2 linked regions of the Elephas maximus indicus genome follow. The protein of the gene in region 1 purifies or fractionates together with the protein of each later gene. This does not show direct contact. Links are inferred from orthologs where the notes say so. Each region holds a gene or a part of one and is shown in the gene's direction. Other genes may lie near its edges.

Region 1 (10,615 bases):
ATAAAACACTTCAGACAAATTCTTGGCTCTCTATGAGCTGACCTGGCTCTGAGCAAGAGTGTGAATTATAAAAAGATTGACAGTCAGGCTTTAAAATGTCTCTTCCTGTACAGGCCTCACATGCTCTTATCACAGCTCCCAGATCACTACCACTCAAATGGTCACTCTCATTTAAAATTTCCTGCTTGTAATCTTTGCAAAGCATTTGGCAGGAAAAGAATGATGCAGGGGTTTTCCGCCAAGTAGGAAAAAAAAAAAAACAGTGATGACAAACTTTGGAGTGAATGTTCTGGCCAGGGAAAGAGATTTGCTTAATCTCAGACCAGCCTCTAGAATAAGAATATCCGGGATCCTGGGCTGTGATTCCAAAGCAAGTCAAGACTTCCTTCTCCACAGCTGCCCTCTAGGAAGCTGGTATGTCCGCGTATATCTTCTTTCACTGGGCTACACGAGAATAAAAAGCCAAGTACTACACCTCTCTGGAATGCCAAACCAGGACCAAGTCCCTACCCCCGCAGCCCTCCAAAAAAAGATGCAAGAGCCTACATCCTGTCTGGTTTAAGCCACATCCTTAGAGACCAAATGAAAATCACATCATCCCTACCTTGTTGAGGCATCTTTTTTTTTTTTTTTTTAAATGAAGAGCAAGTGACAATTAAGAGACTCCCAGAATAACCCAGTGGTTTGATTGCAATCAGAATGTCTGACATCAAGAATTGAGGAAGCGGATGTACCTGGTATGAGGGGGGAATGGGAGGGTAGTGTTACCCTCCACACCGTGACCCTTTACGCAGTAGTAACAGCTGCCAAACTCACAGAAGCTGAAAAATCTAGACAATGGGTAAGATTCCTTAGACATTTATTTAAAAAATTTTAAAAATTCACTCTACTCAAAAGAATGAATTATCTGCAAAGGGAATAATGATAGTAAAAGCATTTGGTAAAGAGTCAGATTCTCTCATGACTGGAGCATAAGAAAATGTGGTATTAAAATGAGAAAAAAAAAGTAAGATAGAATGTCTTCATGTGGAAAAACTTGTTTGCAATAACCAGACATATTTTATTTTGAATTTCCCAACTAAATTTTTCACATTAAGAAAGTAAAAGATCTTAAGTTTTAAGAGGGTAAATACCAGCTTTCCTCTAAATAAAGGTCATAAATTGAAAATGTCATAATGTTCACTGAGTCTATAATAAGCATGTGAGTATGGCTGAAGATGAACATAGAATTCTGCAATGTAAATAAAGGTTATCTTTGAGAAGTATATCATGAATGGTTTTTATTATCTTCTTTATACTTTTCTGGGTTTTTTTCCACATAATCCAAAAACCAACTGAACCCGTTGAGGTTGAGTCAATTCCAACTCATAGCAACCCAACAGGACAGAGTAGAACTGCTCCATATGGTTTATAAGGAGCGTCTGGTGGATTCAAACTGCCGACCTCTTGGTTAGCAGCTGAACTCTTAACCACTATGTCACCAGGATTTCCTTCCACATAATAAGCTGGCATAAGTTTTATAATGAAAAAAACCCATGAAATTTGAAACAAAGAATTTGAAGATATTTTCCCCTTAAAGTTTTATTTAGTTCTACAATCCATCTAGAGTTGATTTTTTTAGTTATGGTGTGGGGTAGGGACTAAGACTGATTTTTTTTCATACAGATATTCAGTTGACCCAGCACTACCAGGGTTTCCCTTTACCGTGTTCGGTACTGTTTTTTCATGATTTCATTTAATGCTCACAACAATCTGGTGTAGTACTGATTGCCATCAAGTCTATTCCAATTCATAGTGATCCTGTAGGACAGAGGAGAACTGCCTCAGAGGGTTTCCAAGGCTGTAATCCTTACAGAGAAACCCTGGTGGCATAGTGGTTAAGAGCTACAGCTGCTAACCAGAAGGTTGGGAGTTTGAATCCACCTGGTGCTCCCTGGATGGGGCAGCTCTATTCTGACCTATAGGGCCACTTGAGTTGGAATTGACTTCATGGCAACGGTTTGGCTTTGCAGGTAATCCTTAGAGAAGGTGCCCTCATGGTACAGTGGTTCAGTGCTTGGCTGCTAATCGAAAGGTTGGTGGGTTCAAATCACCAACCTTTTGGTTAGCTGCCGAGCACTTTAACCACTGTGCCACCAGGGCTCCTTCTCTGGTGCAGTAGGTAGTATTACTCAAATTTTATAGGTGAGTAAACCCAGAGAGGTTAAGTAATCTGGCTAAGGCAGAACTGGAATTGAAACACGGTCTTTCTCTCTTAAGTGTGTGCTGTTTTTTTGTCTGTTTTGTTTGATTTTGGACCTTAGGTGCAGAGGGGTGAGTTAAATGTAGTCCTCAGTTCATGACGCATTTTCATCATTGGCTGCCCTCTTATTTCTTGGTTTCTCACATTTGTGATGCCACTACACTATGTCCAAATGTGACAAACCACATGAAAGTGCTAATATTTGACCATTTTTGAGCTACAAAAATGGTAACTTCACATCCTTTAACCTAACATGTTTGTTAAAATGTTTATCACATTGTGGGCACCTATGTTAGGCATTCAGGAAAAGTTAAAAGAACCGATGAATCCCTACTCATCTGAAGTGCAAATGAAGAAAACTCTTCTACCTTGGGCTATTCTACAAACTTCAGTCACTGGGGTAGTCCTTGATGTGGACTCTTTCTCAGGGCATGATGAGGGTTTAGGGACACTGCTCAATGGAGGCAGACCCTTTCAGCAGCATTCAAACCAAGAAAAACCAAACCCAGTACCGTCGAGTTGATTCTGACTCATAGCAACCCTATGGGACAGAGTAGAACTGCCCCACAGAGTTTCCAAGGAGCGCCTGGTGGATTCGAACTGCCAACTTTTTGGTTAACAGCCATAGCACTTAATTGCTGCGCCACCAGGGTTTTCACAGCATTCATAAAGTCATAATATTTCAGTATTGGAAGGAACTTCACATTTTTTACATGGTGAAAGTGAGGTCTTGAGAAGTTCAATTATTGCTCAAAATTCCACTAGCATTTATTTGCATTAGCAAATATAAAACTGTACCAGCATTCAGACAGCCTGAATTGTTCCTTAACACACATTGTTTGAAAAGTTAATTTCAATTAATTTTTTAATATTTATTATTTTACTTTGATACTACAAGTTGTTCACATTTAACATGAAAAAAGTGGAAACAGAAAAAGACGATTTTAAACTATTACGTAATTTCATCATCATCTAGATAACCACTGGTTTACAGTTTGGTGTATATAGCTTTCTAGTCTTTTTAAAATAAATGTACTTTTAAAACCATTTATATGAGACCAAATGCTCAACAATTACTCTAAAGCAAAGATAAAAGGGTAAGGGGGCAGGGAAACCAGATAAATGAAAATGAAACATCTAGAATGGAATGAATGAGAATGTTAACACATTGTGAAAAATGTAACCAATGTCACTGAACAACCTGTGTACTAATTATTAAATGGGATCCTAATTTACTGTGTAAACGTTCACCAAAAACACAATAAAATATCATTTAAAAAATAAACGTATAATTGTTTTTTTTTTAAGTTGAAAGAATTACAAACTGATCTAAAAAAAATATCCAAAGAACTTTTTTCTCCCAGAACCATTTGGGAGTAGTTGCTGACCTGATGATCCATCACCCTCAAAGACTTCAGTGCTTATTTCCTACAACAAGAATGTTCACCTACAAAACTACAACTACCAAAATCAGAGTATTAACACTGAAACATTACTACAGTCTTAGTCCTCAGATCCGTTCTTGTTTTACCGATCTTCCCAATAATGTCCTTTGTAGCAAAAGTATCTAATTCATTTACTTGTCATGTCTCCCGTTTAAAACAACTCTTCCATCTTTCCTTTCATGACCTTGACATTTTTGAAGATGAAAGGCTAGTAAATCCTCTAAAATGTCCTTCAATTTGGGTTTCTCTTATGTTTTCTTATGATTAGATTCAGCCATGCATCTTCAGCAGGAATATCACAAAAGCAATGCTGTGTTCTTTTCATTGCATCCCACGAAGGGACACATTACTACTGATGATGCTCATTTTAATTGCTTAAGATTAAAGTAGTATGTGCCAGACTTCCCCACTGTAAAGTTATTCTTTTCCCCTTTGTAGTGAATTTGCATTTTGTGAGGAGGTACGCTGAATCCTTGTAAACATCCAGTTCTTCATCAAACTTTAATTAATAGTTTATTCAGTATGGGTTCAAGGCTTCCTATTTTATTCAATGAGTTATAACCTTTTGCCATTGTTATTTATTTTAATGTTCAAGTCATACAATTTGGCTAGTAGGAGTCTCTTCAAGCTGGCTTCTGTGTCCTTTTGAAGTATCTGTGATTTTTTTTGTACTTCCTTGCTTTCTTGCACAAAAAGATGTTCCAGGTTCATCTGTCCTTTCCCTGGGCACTTCTGGAATCAGCCATTTTTCCAAGGAGTCCTCGATCCTTTTCATGGGGAATGGTATTTAGAAGCTAAGAGTTGCTATTGGGGTGTCCCTACTCTCAGGTCCCTCAGGGGACATGTTTGGGAATACATGTGTACACACCAGAACCAGGACAAGGGTGAGGCAAGTGAAATGCTCGCTCCAACCCACTGCTGGGAAGTCCATTCCGACTCATAGCAGCCCTACAGGGTTTCCTAGGCTGCAAATCTTTACAAAAGCCGATTGCCACATGGAGCAGCCAGTGGATTGGAACCATTGACCTTTTGGTTAGCAACTGAGCGCTTAACCACTGCGCCACTACGGCTCCTTTTGAAATGGTTGCCACGGGTGCAAAATTTAAGAGGGTGCCAAAAAACTCAGTAACCAAGATATTTTAATGCAATACTAAAAAAAAAAAAAAAAAACCCCACAAAATTAATGCAAAAAAATTCATGGTGAATAAAATATCAAAATTTAAAATAAAGACAGAATCACATCTACCACACACAGGCATGCACACATCTACCTCTATTCATATATACTGAAAACTGTGAGTTCACACCAAACCAAAAAAAAACACGTTGCCGTCGAGTCCGACACATAGCGACCCTTCTGGCCACCTACTGTCTTTAGGACTGAATACTTTCGAAAGGGGAAGGGGGGAAAGGAAGAGCGAAAAGCGCATTTTTGAGTAAATATTGTGCCTCTTTTATTAAGCTCTTTATTCACATCTTATTTCTCCAATATGTTTCAGAAAAAGGGTTTTTAAGACTTCTAAAAAATATTGCCAATCTGCTCTCAAAAAAGGTTGTACCAATTTACCATAACATCAGCACTGAGTACCCATCTCTCTGCATCCTCATCAGTAAAAAAAAAAAAAGGACATTATTACTATCACTACTGTGCACTGGTGCAAGGAGTCCCTGAACAAGTTCTCCATCCCTCACATTTCTCTCCCCTGCACACAAGAAGGGGTCCCTCTCCTTATTTATTTTTATCCTGTTATTCCGCAGAGGACTAGGCCGCCCGGTACCAGGTCTGACCTGGCACCTGATGAGAAAGAGCTCACCTCGCCGCTCGCTGCAGGAACCTGGGCGCACGACCTCCTTTCCCGGTGGACCGGGGTGCCTCGGGGCAGCAGAGGGTGCTATGGAGCCCGCGCCATATCCCGCCCCCGGGGCTGCTCGCTCCGCCCCCGTGACGTATTTCCGCGTATCTGCCGCCACTGCTTGCTCCCATTGGCTGTTGGCCAGGCATGGGGCGGAGCCGAGGGAGGTGTGGCGAAGCGCCGCAGCCCGGGGGAGGCGGGGCGAGGCCTCCTTCCCGGCTCCTCCCCCGCCGTCCAGACACTCCCTGAGACGGCTGCGCGGCGCGGCTCGGAGCGCGGCTACGGCGGCGGCTGCACGGTCTCTGGCTGCAGCTCGTGCGGGGCTCTCGTGTGCGCTCCGAGGGGCCGCTTCAGCCCGAGGGCCGGCTGACGGAGGGATAGAAGGAGGGAATCCCGCGCTGCCGAGACGCTCGCGCGCAGCCACTGCGCGCCGGCGGGGAAGCCCTTGGGCTCCCGGCACGCTGAGCCTAGCCTCAGGCGGGCAGGCGGGGTCCCCGAGGCAGGCTTGGGCCCCGGGCGCCGGAGGGCCCGAGCGGGCGCTCCTTCTGAAAACAGCCTCTGGCCCGCGGCCCAGATTTGGCCCCTGGGGTGCGGGCGCAGGGCAGCGCACAGGGAGGAAGCGAGAGGAGCCGCTCTCCGCCCGACTTGGAAGCGCCTTCCCTAGTCCAGAATGCCCAAGAAGAAGCCGACGCCCATCCAGCTGAACCCGGCCCCCGACGGCTCGGCGGTGAACGGGACCACCTCGGCGGAGTAAGTATGGGGTGGCGGCGGGCGCAGGAGCCGGGGCGCAGGGCGCCGGTCGACTTGGTCACGTACGTCTCGGGGTGGCGGGGGGCGAGCAACTCCCGGCCGCCGAGGTATCGGTGACTAAGCACTGATTGTGTTCCTGACCCAGACCAGTCACCCGGGCAGCCTCGGTTTCTCCTCCCTTCCTGACCCTTCCTGTCGTCCCTGGCTACTGGCCCCTCCCCTTTCCCCAAGAAAATCAAAGCTGGTTCATTCCCCCTCCCTGCGGCAGTTTCCTAAATGTGATCCACGGGGGGTCTGGCCTGTGACGGGAGAACGTTTGGAAAGAGTTACGATCGCATCTGTGCCTTTGAGAAGGGCTCCGGGAGGTGGGACCTGCGAGCATCACCTTCGTGCCTGACACCTGTGGGTCGGGAGTGGCTCTTTGGGGGCAGCTGCCTGAACCGCCTCGCGGCTTTTCCTTTGCCGACTTTAGAGGGTCCGGGGTTTTGGCCTCCTTCCTGTCCTGGGAACTGTCTTGCCTCCAAGGGAGCGCCTTTCCGCTTCATTCATTTATTCAACAAATTGTCTCTTCATCAGTGCCTTCCTTGGCTTTCCTTACTTCACCATAAGCCCTAAACTCCTGATTCGGGATGCGAACATCCTGACTATGGAGATCACACACAAGATGTTTCATATTTGCAGGTTCTGGTGTTGCTCACAGACCAGCACTTTTATTCATTAAATAAAGGTGAGGCTGTTGCCTGTTTCAGGGGGGTTCCTGAGCTCCCACAACTCTTTGGAGTCCTGGGTAAGGGACAAGACCTGTGAGGGAGAAAGACCTGCTGGCTGGAGAAATATCCAGAAAAGATAAGATTCTGAATCTTTTACATGAACACTCTAGACTTAAGGAAGCTAGCTGATACAATGAATAGAGTAGACCTGGACCTTCTGCCTTTGATGATTTCTGCAGCTTTCCTTCCTCTCCACCTAGATTTTAATAGCCTGGAGACCTGTGGACTTGGTGATTCTGCTCATCCCTGTAATAATCACAAGGCCAGTGACAGACCTGTGGTGTGCACTCAGCCAGGTTCCTCAGACCTGCTTTTTCTTTAGGCTCCCCTCAACACTGTTTTCTGCTTTATACATATTGACTTGTACAGGTCGTGAGTTGTATTTGCAAACTTGAATTCCGTTTTAGTGTACAGTGTTTGTCCTCTTAAGCTGACTGAAAGCCCCTCAAGGGCCTGGGGCCCTCGTTAGCCCTTACCATCTTCAGGACAGGTTTGACCAGACTGGATTCTGTCTGCATAGTGTGGCATGACCATCCTGCTATTTGATTGGGAGACGGGAACTGAGTAGAAGTACCTGTTGTCCTTCTGACACCACAGCTGTATTCTTTCAGGGGAGATGAATTTCATTAAAGGAGAACAGTAAAGGGAGGATAAAAAGAAGCCACCCAGGATTTGGTGGCAGAAAAAAAGTGGGTGGAACTGGGAGGCTCTCAGCAGTGGTTGAGAGGTTGACCTTTGAGTTAGCCTAGGTTTGAAGCCCGACCCTGTCACTTGTGGTTTTGTGACCTGGGACAAGTCTCTTAGCCTCTCTAAGGCTTAGGTTTGGGAGTAATAATAGAACCTACTTAGGGTAGTTGTGAAGATTAAATGAGGGAATGCATACAAAGCAATTGATACTTGGTAAGTCTTCATAAATGTGAGCTGCTGGTGCCTATGAGTCGGAATCGACTTGAGGGCAGTGGGTTTGGTTTTCTTTTTTTTTTTTGGTTTTGGTGCCTTTGTTACTGGGTACATGCCGAGAAGGCTAAATGAAACTGAAAGGTGTTTCCATTTCTGGTGGTGCCTGTGTGTGTTCAGGTGCCTTTGATCCTGGACAAAGGACTCTCTCCCCAGCTTAATTTTCTGTGCCCTCTGCATCTACCTCCATGACTCATTGCTGTGTTACAATAGGAGGCATCTTCGTGTAGGCTGCCTGAGACGAACAGGGACTGTTCCCGTACATTTCCTAGCACTAATGAAGGAAAAGCTATACCCACATCTTCACCTTTCACTCTTGAGAGTTTAGAGTTTTTCTTAAGCAAGGCTTCCCCTCTCTTGGTCTGCCAGCAGAAAGAACTCTTTTGTTCTCATGATTTCTCTGATTACCAGGGCACAGTTTTGCTCATTATCATACAATGTGAACTAAAGAAGAAGAAAAAAATCCGTTTAAAGTAAAGAATTCTTAGTACCAAACTGGCAAGGTTGCCTGTGCCACGTGGGTTCCTGGCCCCTTGGGAATTACTTCTAACTTAACATCCCACTCAGGAATGGAGCTGGGTTATACATGACCTGAAGTGTATGCTAGTTCTGGGGGTCCTTTAAGAAAAAGAATGTAAAAATATCTTCTGCAAGCTTTGCAAAAACGTGAGCATATTGTTAGGGTCTTAAGTGTTAGAATGAAATAAATTGGAAATATCACATCATCCCTCTGTTTAAAATGTTTTTGTGATTCCATTGCAGTTAGAGTAAAATACAACGGTGGTGTAAATGGTTAACCCACTTGGCTGCTAACTGAAAGATTGGTGGTTCAAGTCTTCGCAGAGGTGCTTCGGAAGAAAGGCCTGGTGACCTACTTCTGAAAAATCAGCCATTGAAAATCCTGTGGAGCACAGTTCTCGTCTGACACACGTGGGGTCACCATGAATCGAGGGCAGTGGGGTCGACTCTGGCAGTTGGTACATTGGGCTGTGAGACTCTGAGTGATTTGCCCGCTGCATCCCCTGCCTCCACCCCACCTCTTTGACCACATTTCCTGTCACTTCTTCCGCCACACTGGCCCTCTTTCACTTCCTCCCTGGGATGATATATACTCCCTCCAGGCCCTTACACGTACCGTACTGTTCCCTTTGCCTGGAATGAATCATCCCTCTCTCTTCCCTTAGCTAGGGGGTAACAACCTTCATCCCCCTGCTTAAACGTCATTTCTTCACAGATGTTCACAGACCACTTGATCTAAAATAGGTCCCTTTTTTTCATGCCACCTGATTTTTTTGATGACACTTATCACTGTCTGTAATTATTTACTAGGGCATTTAAAATATCTATCTCTACTATATACCATAGGAGCCCTGGTAGCACAGTGGTTAAAGAACTCTGCTGCTGACCAAAAGGTCGGCAGTTCAAATCTACCAGGCTCTCCTTGGAAACCCTATGGGGCAGTTCTACTCTGTTCTCTAGGGTCACTATGAGTCAGAATCGACTCAGTGGCAACAGGTTTGGCAGCATAGGGCTGCCTTTTTTTGACTCCCCTCTCTGTAAGTAATGCCTAGAACAGTACCTGGCACATAATGAGGGCACAGATGATTGTCGAAGGAATCATAAGCAAATGAAATTTCTAATATTTTCACAATGTCTTTAATAAACCCTTGTTACCTTCTCATTTTCATTTGTATTTTTCCCTTTATTCTCCACAATGCTTCCCATTTCTTTTCCTTTCACAGGCACCTACTCACCCACTCTAGAGAATTTAATTATAATGAGCTATAATCATCTTATAATTCGGCCCATTTGTTTGGGCACATGTGTACCCTCGGGAAATACATAGCATTGTTTTATGTTTCTGTGTGTAGTGTACTAAATGGTATTGTGCAGTAAACCCTGTAAATCTACATCAGTCAGGATGGACTAGATTATACTGAAGTAACAAACAACCCCCAAATCTCAGTAGTTTAACATACTCTCATGACATCAGGGGTGTTCTGTTGATTGCTGGTCCACGGAGGCACCAGCTGTGAAACAAGCTTACATGAGAAGCGAACCTTGTGAACCGCATCTGGCTCTTATAGTTTCTCCCTAGAAGTGATATATGTCACTTTTGATATCACATATTGTTGACCAAAGCAAATCACGTGGCCATGCTGACCTTCAAAGGGGATAGGGAAGTATCAAAACCAAAACTAAACCCATTGCCGTTGAGTTGATTTTGACTCATAGTGACCCTATAGGACAGAGTAGAACTGCCCCATAGGGTTTCCAAGGCTGTAATCCTTACGGAAGCAGACTGCTACATCTTTCTGTGAAGTGCCTGGTAGTTTTGGACCATCGACCTTTCAGTTAGCAGCTGAACACTTAATCACTGTGCCACCAGGGCTCCTTAGGGCAAGTATGGTTCTGCCGTTTTCTTAGAAAGAGGAAAGCCAGGAATATTTGAACAGAAGCATTGATCCCTGCAAAATCTCGTGTCAGTTTCTTACCTTTTTTGCCAAACACCATGTTTTTGAGATCGATTTATGACACTATATGTGTAACTAAGTTGATAATTTCTCTTGGCTGCAGTCATATGCACGTACCACATTT
Region 2 (10,849 bases), on another chromosome or scaffold:
AATAAGAAAATATGATAAAAGGAGAAAATTTTGAAGTTGTCAGGGATTTCATTTTACCTGGATCCACAATCAACACCCATGGAAGCAGCAGTCAAGAAATCAAATGACATATTAAATTGGGCAAATCTGCTGCAAAAGACCTCTTTAAAGTGTTAAAAAAGAAAAGATGTCACCTCGAGAACTAAGGTGCTCCTGACCAAGTAATGGTATTTTCAGTCACCTCATATGCATGCAAAAGCTGGACAATGAATAAGGAACACTGAAAAAGAACTGTTACCTTTGAACTGTGGTGTTGGCGAAGAATATTGAATATATCATGGACTGCCAAAAGAATGAACAAATCTTTTCTTGGAGGAAGTGCAACCATAATGCTCCTTGGAAGTAAGGATGATGAGACTTCATCTCACATATTTTGGACATGTTATCAGAGGGATCAGGCCCTGGAGAATGACATCACGCTAAGTAGAGGGCCAGTGAAAAAGAGGAAGACCCTCAATGAGATGGATTGACACAGTGGCTGCAAAAATAAGCTCAAGCATAACAATGTGAGGATGGTGCAGGACAGGGAGGTGTTTTGTTCTGTTGTACATAGGGTGGCCATGAGTTGGAACTGACTTGACAGCACCTAACAACAACACCAGAAAGCCTACTTAGCTTCATGCATTTGTCGTCTTGTACCAGTTGGTTCTGACTCGTAGCGACTCTACGGACAGAGTAGAACTGCTCCATAGGGTCCAAGAATGTAATCTTTATGGAAGCAGACTGTCACATCTTCTTTCTTCAGAGTGGCTGGTGAGTTTAAACTGCCTACCTTTTAGTTAGCAGCCCAACAAAGGACTTACCTGCTACACTACCAGGCATTCCTTTTGCTGTAGGCCACCATTATTATTACATTACAGAGGAAATGGACTGCTGTCAAGTTGATTCCGACTCATAGCGACCCTATAGGACAGATTAGAACTGCCCCATAGTGTTTCTAAGGAGCAGCTGGTGGATTTGAACTGCCAGTCTTCTGGATAGCAGCTGAACGCTTAACCACTGCACCACCAGGTCTCCGAGGAAATGGATGGCAATGGAGTGTCCAAAACCAAAAAATTACTTTTGTTTTATTTTATTTTATTTTGACAGCTATGTGTAGTTTTAAAGGTTGGTTGCTTTTAAAGAAAAAAGTGGAACTGGGCTTCTAGTTCGTAGTTACATTGCTCTTTAATGTACTAATAAATTACTTAGTTTGATCCCATGTACAAAGATAACATAACAGCATCTTTTGAAACACATTTCAAAGAACATATTTTGTATTGCAAATTAGGTATCTGTCAGTTTAGAATTACAATTTGTTTCTTAGTCTTCATACTTCAGTGGCAATATTTTCTCTTTGTACAATTATGGTAGTATTACAGATATGCCCCCATTTCAAATGGATGTGTTAAAACACAATCTTAAACTGGCTTCTTTATTCCAAACAATATTTCATACTGAAAATGAAGAAGGACCCAACAAATGTAGAATTTATTATGATATAGTTGACTTATGAGTTAAATCTCAGTATTTTATTAATTACTTTTAAAGTTGCTATTGCAAAAATACTAAGGATTTTTAAAATTTGGAGCCCTGGTGGCGCAGTGGTTAAGGGCTACGGCTACTAACCAAAAGGTCGGCAATTCGTATCCACCAGTTGCTCCTTGGAAACCTTATGGGGCATTTCTACTGTGTCCTATAGGGTTGCTATGAGTCGGAATCAACTTGATAGCAATGGGTTTGGTTTCAGTTTTAGGTAGAAGTATTACTGTTTTACATAATTTAACGAGCCTCTTGTTACTCAAATAAAACATTAACTTTTTCTGTCCTGAGCGATGATTGCATATCTAGAAAATTTATGGGATAAAATTTGGAAGAGGAAACTAGAACCTGGCTTCATTATGCCTAGAAACCAACCACTCTGATCTTTTCCTTAGATCTTGTATACTCTCCCACTGTCTTTGACCCCAATCTCCCACCCTGTGTTCAGCACCACTTCTACTGTAATCCCATATAATATAGGCTATGGAAAGTTAATAAACTCTGTCATATTTTCAGTCAAATCGAAGGGAAAATATCACTGTATTTCATCGGATCTAATAAGCAATCAATTTAAGATACATCTCAGTTTCAGAGATGTTAAAATGTTAGGGGGAAATCCATCTCAGAATCGATGAAATACAGTATCATGCATTTCATTCTAACTTTATTGGTGATATCAGAGCCTTTGTTTCTGATTCTCTTAAAGTTCTCTTACCTGTTATATACAACAGAGATCTCAACTTTTTTTATTCTGGTTTTTTAACAATATATGCAGTGTCTTTACTAACTATATATACAGGTACTGGTATGCTGTGAAGGAGCCCTGGTGGCACGATGGCTGCTAACCAAAAGGATGAAGTAATCAATTTGGCTAGAGTAGAAGATTCACACTAGAATGTATTTGGAAGTCACTGCTCTCACAGGGATCACAATAGAGGGTCACAGACAGAGCTGGAGAAAAATGTTGACCAAAATTCTAACTCAAAAAGAAAGGCCAGATTTGCTGGCCTGACAGAGACTAGAGAAACCCTGAGAGTATGGCCCCCAGACACCCTTACAGCTCAGTAATGAAGTCATTCCTGAGGTTCACCCTTCACCCAAAGATTGAACAGGCCCATGGAACAAAACAAGACTAAAGGTGTGCACCAGCCCTGGGGTAGGGACTGGAAGGTAGGAGGGAACAGGAAAGCTGGTAACAGGGAACCCAGGGTTGAGAAAGGAGAGTGTCGACATGTCATGGGGTTGTTAACCAATGTCATAGAACAATGTGTGTACTGTTTGATGAGAAACTAGTTTGTTCTGTAAACCCTCATCTAAAGTTCAATTAAAAAAAAAAGTACTCAGAAGTAAAATAGAGTATTAGTGCCAGATTAAAGACTGTCAACTTTGTCTGTGATGGTACATCACTAAAGATCTTCTTAGCAGGCAGTAATGAGTGTTTTAAGAAGGTTCATCTGCCAGTTATTAAATGGCTATTGATATAGTCTTGCTGAGTAGAAATACGGTCTGAATCAAGAATTGAAAAAATACAGATGCAAAAATCATTGTTAGGGAAGAAAAGACATATCATGAGGAAAGAAAGAGAGCAGCCAAACATGATTCCTGACTAGTAGAATCATGGTACTGGTACAGACATAGGAGAAACAGGTTTATTAGACCCAAGTTTTTTAGAGCTTTTGAGTTAGAGCTGACAGTAAGGTATGTAGGTAGAAATATCCAACATCCAGCAAGCAGCTAAGAATGTGAATCTAGAACTCAGAGGAAAGACTCACATTCTCAGAACACGGGAAAGAGAACATTGCAGAGGAACCCAAGATAAGCTTGGGAAATGCCATCATCTGAACAGTTAGAGACTTGAGTGGGTGGGGACCTGAAACAAATAAAGCGGTGTCCCAGAAACTAAGAAATCAAAGATTTTAAATAAGGAAAAGGAAGTAATCTTTAATGGTGTCAACTGCTATGGAACTGTCAAGTTCACTTGTAAAAATTTGTAGGTGCTCAAACAGATTTTTTGGATGGTAAGTCTGGTGTGAGGAGGGAAAGAAGAGCCAGGGAAACCCTGAAAAGTAACTAGGTTTATTGTGCTCACAGTTCCCAGAGGCAGGGAGGCACAACACACCATGATGCAGGGCCACACAGGGGTTGCACCCAGAGAAAAAACCCAAACCAAACCCACTGCCGTCGAGTCGATTCCGACTCAGCGAAGGTAACAACAAATTATAGGAAAAGGCTTATGTGTGGCAAGCAGGGCAGGGTTAGCTAGGTTTTTCTGGTTTCCTGGGGAATAGGCATTCTTGAATAACTCTGCAAGCTCAGGGGGTATAGAGGGCTGTCCTGAGTTGTTAGGTACCTGGCCCTGGGACAATTAGGGTGGGTGCATAGTGGCCCAGGAATGTGAGAACCTGATGAGGGGAGTGGTTGGAGAGTGGAATTAATCAGCTGCTGAAGAAGGTGAACGGACTAGCCTCCAGCCAGGGCCTCAAAGCAGTCAAGACAGCATTTTTTTTTTTTTTTAATTGTGCTTTAAGTGAAAGTTTACAAATCAAGTCAGTCTTTCATACAAAAACCCACCTTGCTATGTACTCCTAGCTGCTCTCCCCTTAATGAGACAGCACACTCCTCCTCTCCACCCTGTATTTCCTGTGTCCTTTCACCTAGTTCCTGTTCCCCTCTACCTTCTCATCTCGCCTCCAGAGAGGAGCTGCCCACATAGTCTCCTGTGTCTATTTGAGCCAAGAAGCTCACTCCTCACCAGAAAATGATACTGTCTTACAGTCCAGTTCAGGCCCTGTCTGAAGAGTTGGCTTCAGGGATGGTTCCAGTCTTGGGCTAATAGAGGGTCCAGGGACCATGACTTTCAGGGTCCCTCCAGTCTCAGACCATTACGTCTGGTCTTTTTTATGACAATTTGAGTACTGCATCCCACTGTTCTCCTGCTCCATTAGGGATTCTGTTATGTTCCCTGTCAAGACAGCATTTTAAGAAAATTATATTACAGTAGATCATTTGTGACATTTGGGAACTCTATGGTTTACAATTGCCTCTTGTCAGGTATAGTTGTAGGAAATATGTATCCAAGACTTTTCACCATGTCTTAGGCTAGACTTAATCCCTTTTGCATTCCTGCTTTTAGGGGCGGGAAATGAAGATCAGTCTTAAACAAGTTTCCATAAATCTCGGAATTTTCCAAGACATACTACCCAGCTTTGAATAAATGAAACCAGAGGTAATCTGCAACTAAAGCCATGAACTTCAGTTTTCCTAGGAGGGGCTAAGGCAGTGGTTCTCAACTGGGGTGTGATTTTGCCCCCCAGGGGATTTTTGGTTGTTACAAAAGTGGGGGGGGGTGATGGGGGGAAGGGAGGAGGGAAGACTGCTAGCATCTAGTGAGCATAGGCAAGGGATGTTGCTAAACAGCCTAAAATGCACATGACAACCCCCTTCAACAAAGATGTATCTAGCCCAAAGTATCAGGAGTGCAGAGATTGAGAAACCCTGGGCTGAGGTGATCGGAGAGGGTTTCCCCCTTACCATACTTCGTAATCTTCCTACTACCTACTGTAGGTTTTTGTTAAACGTGAAAACAAGCAAGGCACCAAGCAAAAAATATTTTAGGCAATGCTTAGAAGGCAATCCCACATGTCAAGAACCAATGAGAAAACGTAGTTCAGTGCGTACCTTAAAAGAAGCAGAAGCTTGGGGTGCTGCTTGACTCCCCGAGCGCTCCAGAAAGCCCATGGCTCCTCGATTCAATCTAGACAAAACCTTGAGCAAAGAGCATGTAGGGTGACATCCATGGGAAAGCCAAAAAGAGACTAGGAAATCGGGACCAGAAACCTGTAGATCTGGAATTTCTAATCCCTGGGCAATCAATCTCATACAGCTCGTTAACGCCCTCCCTTCCACTCATTTACAAGAATAACTTTTAAGGTACTGGCCCTAAAAAACTAATAAAATTTATGCACGTTCTCCGCACAAAAATGTCTTCTTGCACAAGAACATGCATACATTTTCTGGGGGCTTTCGGGCCCAGCAATCTCTTTAAGAATCGCCTAAGAGTTCAAATCCGTCCGGCCCAAGGCAAGCGGGAGGGGCGGGGTAGCGCGGGCGGGGCGAGGCAGAAAGGGCCGGGGCGGGGCATCGCGGGCGGGGCGGGGCAGGGCGGAGCACCGCGAGCCAAAAAGCGCTCAGTTTCCGCCTACAGTCCCCGGAAATCCTGTGTCACCGGGCGTCGGAGGCGTAGGAAGTGCTTCCTGGGGGCCGACGAGGTCACAAATCATGTGAGGGCCGCTTGGGGAGGAACCTGTCTCCTAGTGTCCCTGAAGTGCCCGCAGAGAGAACCCGGGCATTCCCGGGAGCGGAAACCCAGGTAACTGGCGCCACTTTGCCCGGCATAGGGACTTGTGCCCGGGGATAGCGAGGGAGGGCTGTTGGTGGGGGAAACGAAGGGGGAGAGGGCACCACTTTTCCTAGCCTTTGGGCCCAGATCTCGGGGTGGTGGTGGTGGAGTGGGCTGAGGTAAGACATCCCGGATTCCCGTCGAGGTCTTGGGGAACACCTACTCCTTCGGCCTCTTTGGTACGGTCCTAGAGCCGCGGAGTCGGCTGGGGGTGGAGAAGGCGAGGAAGCTTCGAAGGAATAGTCACCAGAGGTTTCTCTTCCAGGCGTGGAGATTGATCCTGCGAGAGAAGGGGGTTCATCATGGCGGATGTGAGTTGACATTCTTACACAGGAAAAAAGGAGAGGGTGGGAGTTTGGAAAGGATACTGGGCGGGGAGAGGTAGAACTCCCCATGTACAGACCTTTCTTTTAGGCGTTCCTCCCGATTTTTTTCCCCTAGGGTCTGGAGTGGGAGACTGATAAGAATGGATTTGTGGGGTTCTGAGTTTCTGTCCAGTATGGGGTTTGAGGAGAGACTCTTAAGATATGCTTGAGGGTGAGAAGATTGTATTCTCACACCCCAATCCTGTGAACATCAAAGAAGCCCTGTGTGTTTACCATTTGAGCTTCTAAATGATGGTCTGCAGTCTTCCCAATCACTGTGTGGTTAGTAGGACATGTGCACTGAATGCTTTACTTTCCAGTAACCAGTCATGATGTCTCACTTGGGATTATTGTGACAACTTGAAATTCCTCTTTAGCACAGCAGTAAGACCCAAATTCCAAGCTTAGGGGACTTAATTGTACTAGTTACTGAAAAGTGCAGAGAATTACTGATACTAATGTTTATATTTTACATCCTGTTATCTTGCCGAATATTCTTCCAAACATTGAGTATATACTAATTTATTCTTATAACAACATTTAGAAGTAGGTACGATTATTATTCGTCTTATAGATGGTGATGCAAAGCCACAAAAAAATAAAGTAACTCACCCGGGGTTACACAGCTAGTAAGTGGTGAAGTCAAGAGAACAACGCTGACAGTCTGGCTCCAAAGGCTATATTCTTATCCACCACACTGAATGGTCATTCAACATGAATACAAATCCAGTTTTTCCTTTTAGGTTGCAAGATTATATGGTTCAAAGATTTAGGAACTTTTTATGCCTTTACCCACCGCTTATTTTTTTAGTACCATCGGTTATATTTTTGAGACCTTAATTCTTCACCTGTAGTCAAATCACTAAATATTGAGCATCTGCCTTGGAAAAGTTGCTATGATAAGGGCTATGGGTAAAATAAAGATGATTAAGGGATAATTCTTTAAGGGTTTTTAAGATTAATAGAGGAATAGGTAAGTGATCATAGATATGCATACATAATAGTGTGAAAATTGAGGAAAGGATTACATCTGGTTTTTGTCTATCAGAAAAGACTATTTGGAATATTTGATGGTTGAGATTTAGCTCTGAAAGCTGAGTAGCATCTTTTTTTTTTTTAAAAGTAAAATCGAGAGCAAAGTATTTCTAGTAGCGTGAATAGCATAAACAAAGTCCAAGAGTTAAGAAGGGAGAGGTGTGTGTGGAGAAACTGAGTCGACCAGCTTAGTTGGAGCTGTGGATATGTATGAGGATACAGAACTGTAAAATTAGACCTAGACTATGTTGTAGAGAACCTCAAATGTCTAAAGAGTTTGTACGTAATCCAGTGAAAGCTGGAGGGCCATTCAAACCTTGGCTACCCAGGGAATACCTCCAGCCCAGGCATCAATATTATTAAAGCTTCCCAAGTAATTTCTATAGCAAGGTTGAGAACCACTGCAATAAGGCTTTAGAGAAGGAGAATAATATGATTGGCGCAGTGTGGAATAGGATAGAAATGGGAGACGAGAATACCAGTTGGGAGATTAGTGCAAGTCATAAATAGTAAAAGAAATAAAAATAACAGTGTCTGTGGAAAAACAGGAAAAGATCAATTTAAAAACATTTTATTTGACAAGTGATTTAAAAGTGGCAAACGTGAATTAAAGTTAAATGTTAACTCTTGGTTTCAAACCTAAAACCAGGGGATTGGTAGTGCCATTAGTGGAGAGAAGAAGAAATTGAGGAAATCTGGATTCAGGGGCAACAGGATGAGTTCATTTCTCTGTGTGTGTGTGTATTAAGATGAAAGCAAGGTAAGCTGGTAGCGATGCATTCAGGTTTAGACAATTGTAGGTATTAGAGGTTCTGAAGAATAGATGGTATCTGATTCATCTACATAGAGGTCTTAATTGAAGCCTAGATGGTCATTTTCCCCAGATGAGAGATACGAGGAGGCAAAATAAAGTAGTCTTCCATTTCTTTAGTTCTGATTATGATTTAGGCGTCTCTGGGTGGTGCAAATGGTTAATGCACTCACTGTTCACTGAAGGGTCGGTGGTTCATTTCCACCCAGAGGCACCTCGGAAGAAAGGTCTAGCGATCTACTTCTGAAAAATCAGCCATTGAAAACCTTATGGAGCACAGTTCTGCTGTAATACAATGGGGTTGCCATGAGTCGCAGTCAACCCTAGGGCAACTGGTTTTGTTATTTTGGTTTAATTAACGTTTCATGCTTAAACACACTTTGTGTTGTCATTGTAATCATCTGAGAATCATTAAAAGTGATATTAGAAAATCTTATTTATAAATATAGCAAGATAGTCATATATTCTCAAGCAAACACAGCAGTAGCAACAGGATATACAATAGTATGGAAAGTATAATCTGATTTTACGTGTAATGTAATTTTTGTTTTCTGTTACCAGGTATGCTAATCACTTTATATGCATCTTCTCAATAAACTGTAACAGCAATCTTATTAAATAGGCTCTATGAGTATTCTTACTTTATAAGTAATAAAATTTAGGCTTAGAGAAAAGGTTACTTAACTTATTCCAAGTCACACAGTTATTAAGTATCAAAATCAGAAAAAGAAGGATAAAGTACAAGCAGGAATTGTTATGAATATGATTTCAAGTTCCTGAAATGTGGATAGGATAGTATCCAGAAAACCATTGGAAGATACATTATTATAATATGGCTTTTTAATATTTTTCTCTTTTAGGACCTAAAGAGATTCCTGTATAAAAAATTACCAAGGTAAAAAATTAATTTGTTACTGAATATTTTTATGTAGGTAATATTTTGTTTCTATTTTAGACTAATATCACTATGTATGTATAAAGTGTTATTATTTCATACTTTCAAATACCTGACTGTAACCTTAAGTGAGTCCAATGATGTCCTTTGAGTTTGCAGGTATGAGGCCTGAAATAGTCACCTGGCTTTTCTGAGGTTAAACAGCTGGTGGATGCTGGAAGGCTAGAACTCACATTTCTTGTCGCTTTAGAGTTCTTTCAAATATACTATGATAACAGTTTATTGAATTATACTTTGAAGTAGTTACAGTAGTTTCAAGGGAAGAAAAAAAGCTAATAACCTGCCTTTACATTTAATACTGCTTTTAAGACCTAATTGCTAAGTGTAGGTAACCCGAGAATGCTAGACTAGGGTAACAGTTCATGCTCGAAAAATCAGGAGACCTTTTTTTTTTTTTAACCTGTGCATAATCCATTTGCTGCCCCTTTGTATAAATTACGCTTTTATGTTAATGTCAGAAAACTTCCTTTTTGATATTTTACTGTTTCAAAGGACTTTGTCACTTCTGTTGAATTTCCTGTGTAAGGATGGTACCTTCCCTGACAGTTAAACTTTCCCTTACACCCACATCCATTTACAAATAATGTAGAATTCCTGACAGTTGCGGGAAATGAGAGAGAGGGATGTGAGTTGAGACATCCATTCTAACATTCTAGAATAAGATGATTCAAAATTGACGTAATAATCTTTGATTTAATATAGGAGAATATGTGGTGAGATTTTTTTTTTTAATTCTTATCTCCCAAATCTGTTTGACTTTTAAAAGATTTTAGATATCAGTTAATTCCTGTAGATAGAAAACTGTTTGGATTTTGCTTGTCTTTTTTGGTGTTAAGTTGCCTATGTTGACTTGTGTCCTTAACTACCCTAATTACAAAGCACTAGAAATAAGTAATATTTTCTAGTTTTGATTTGTCCATGTTTTTCTTCTGTATTCAGAGAGAAAACTGTTGAAATGTTAAGTAATTATTACCACTGATTTTCTGTTAATGCAATAAATTTATTTTTACTAATACTGGCAAACCACAAAGATAAGCTGCTGGTTCTGTTTTTAACTTAGTGGTTAGCAGTGCAGGCAGTTCTAGTTCTGCATGGGAGTGCAGGGCATAAAAATGACTGTGCAAGTTGAAAATGTGCAAAGCAGTTATAGTGATCAACAGTAGAAATTACAGTTGTTTCATATGATCTTTAAAATTATTTTTCCAAAATATTAAAAACACTTATTCTCAGTTATAAAACTAATGTGTATTTAGTATACTATAAAACATTGAAAACATTGAGAATTAAAGCGTTTTATTTCTTTGTAAAGACTTACCAAGAGTAGTTTGAACAATGCCTCCTCCTTGTCATAGGCCTAAGATAAGGAACAAGTACCTTTTCTATGCTTTGACAAATCGGCATACTCCTTTTTAAGTTTGGAGCCCTGGTGGTGTAGTGGTTAATAGGTCAGCTGCTAACAAAAACGTTGGCAGTTCGAATCCACCAGCCGCTCCTTGGAAACCCCATGGGGCAGTTCTACTCTGTCCTTATAGTGTCTCTATAAGTCAGAATCAACTCGATGGCAGTGGGTTTTTTTTTTTTTTTAAGTTTGGATCAGCTTACAGCATTTTATCCTTTGTCCCTTAATATCGTGAAATATCATGGAGATTTCCGTTAAAGTGAAGTGTTTTGATGGTGTCACTTCCCCTGAGCCATCTTCATCTTTTCAGCATAACCACATTCCG

What was found.
Region 2: the proteins of MAP2K1 (region 1) and LAMTOR3 purify together in Homo sapiens (affinity purification with western blotting; 3 studies listed by BioGRID, with this or other methods). This does not show direct contact. The link is inferred for Elephas maximus indicus from reciprocal best matches to the Homo sapiens genes MAP2K1 and LAMTOR3.

Annotation. Positions count from the first base shown.
Region 1 is NC_064831.1:56,488,040-56,498,654, forward strand, and holds the start of MAP2K1 (dual specificity mitogen-activated protein kinase kinase 1), read left to right. Parts: upstream 1-5,773; 5' UTR 5,774-6,210; coding exon 6,211-6,290; intron 6,291-10,615. UniProt on the Homo sapiens protein: Dual specificity protein kinase which acts as an essential component of the MAP kinase signal transduction pathway.
Region 2 is NC_064823.1:53,259,769-53,270,617, forward strand, and holds the start of LAMTOR3 (ragulator complex protein LAMTOR3), read left to right. Parts: upstream 1-5,774; 5' UTR 5,775-5,929; intron 5,930-6,224; 5' UTR 6,225-6,261; coding exon 6,262-6,270; intron 6,271-9,030; coding exon 9,031-9,065; intron 9,066-10,849. UniProt on the Homo sapiens protein: As part of the Ragulator complex it is involved in amino acid sensing and activation of mTORC1, a signaling complex promoting cell growth in response to growth factors, energy levels, and amino acids.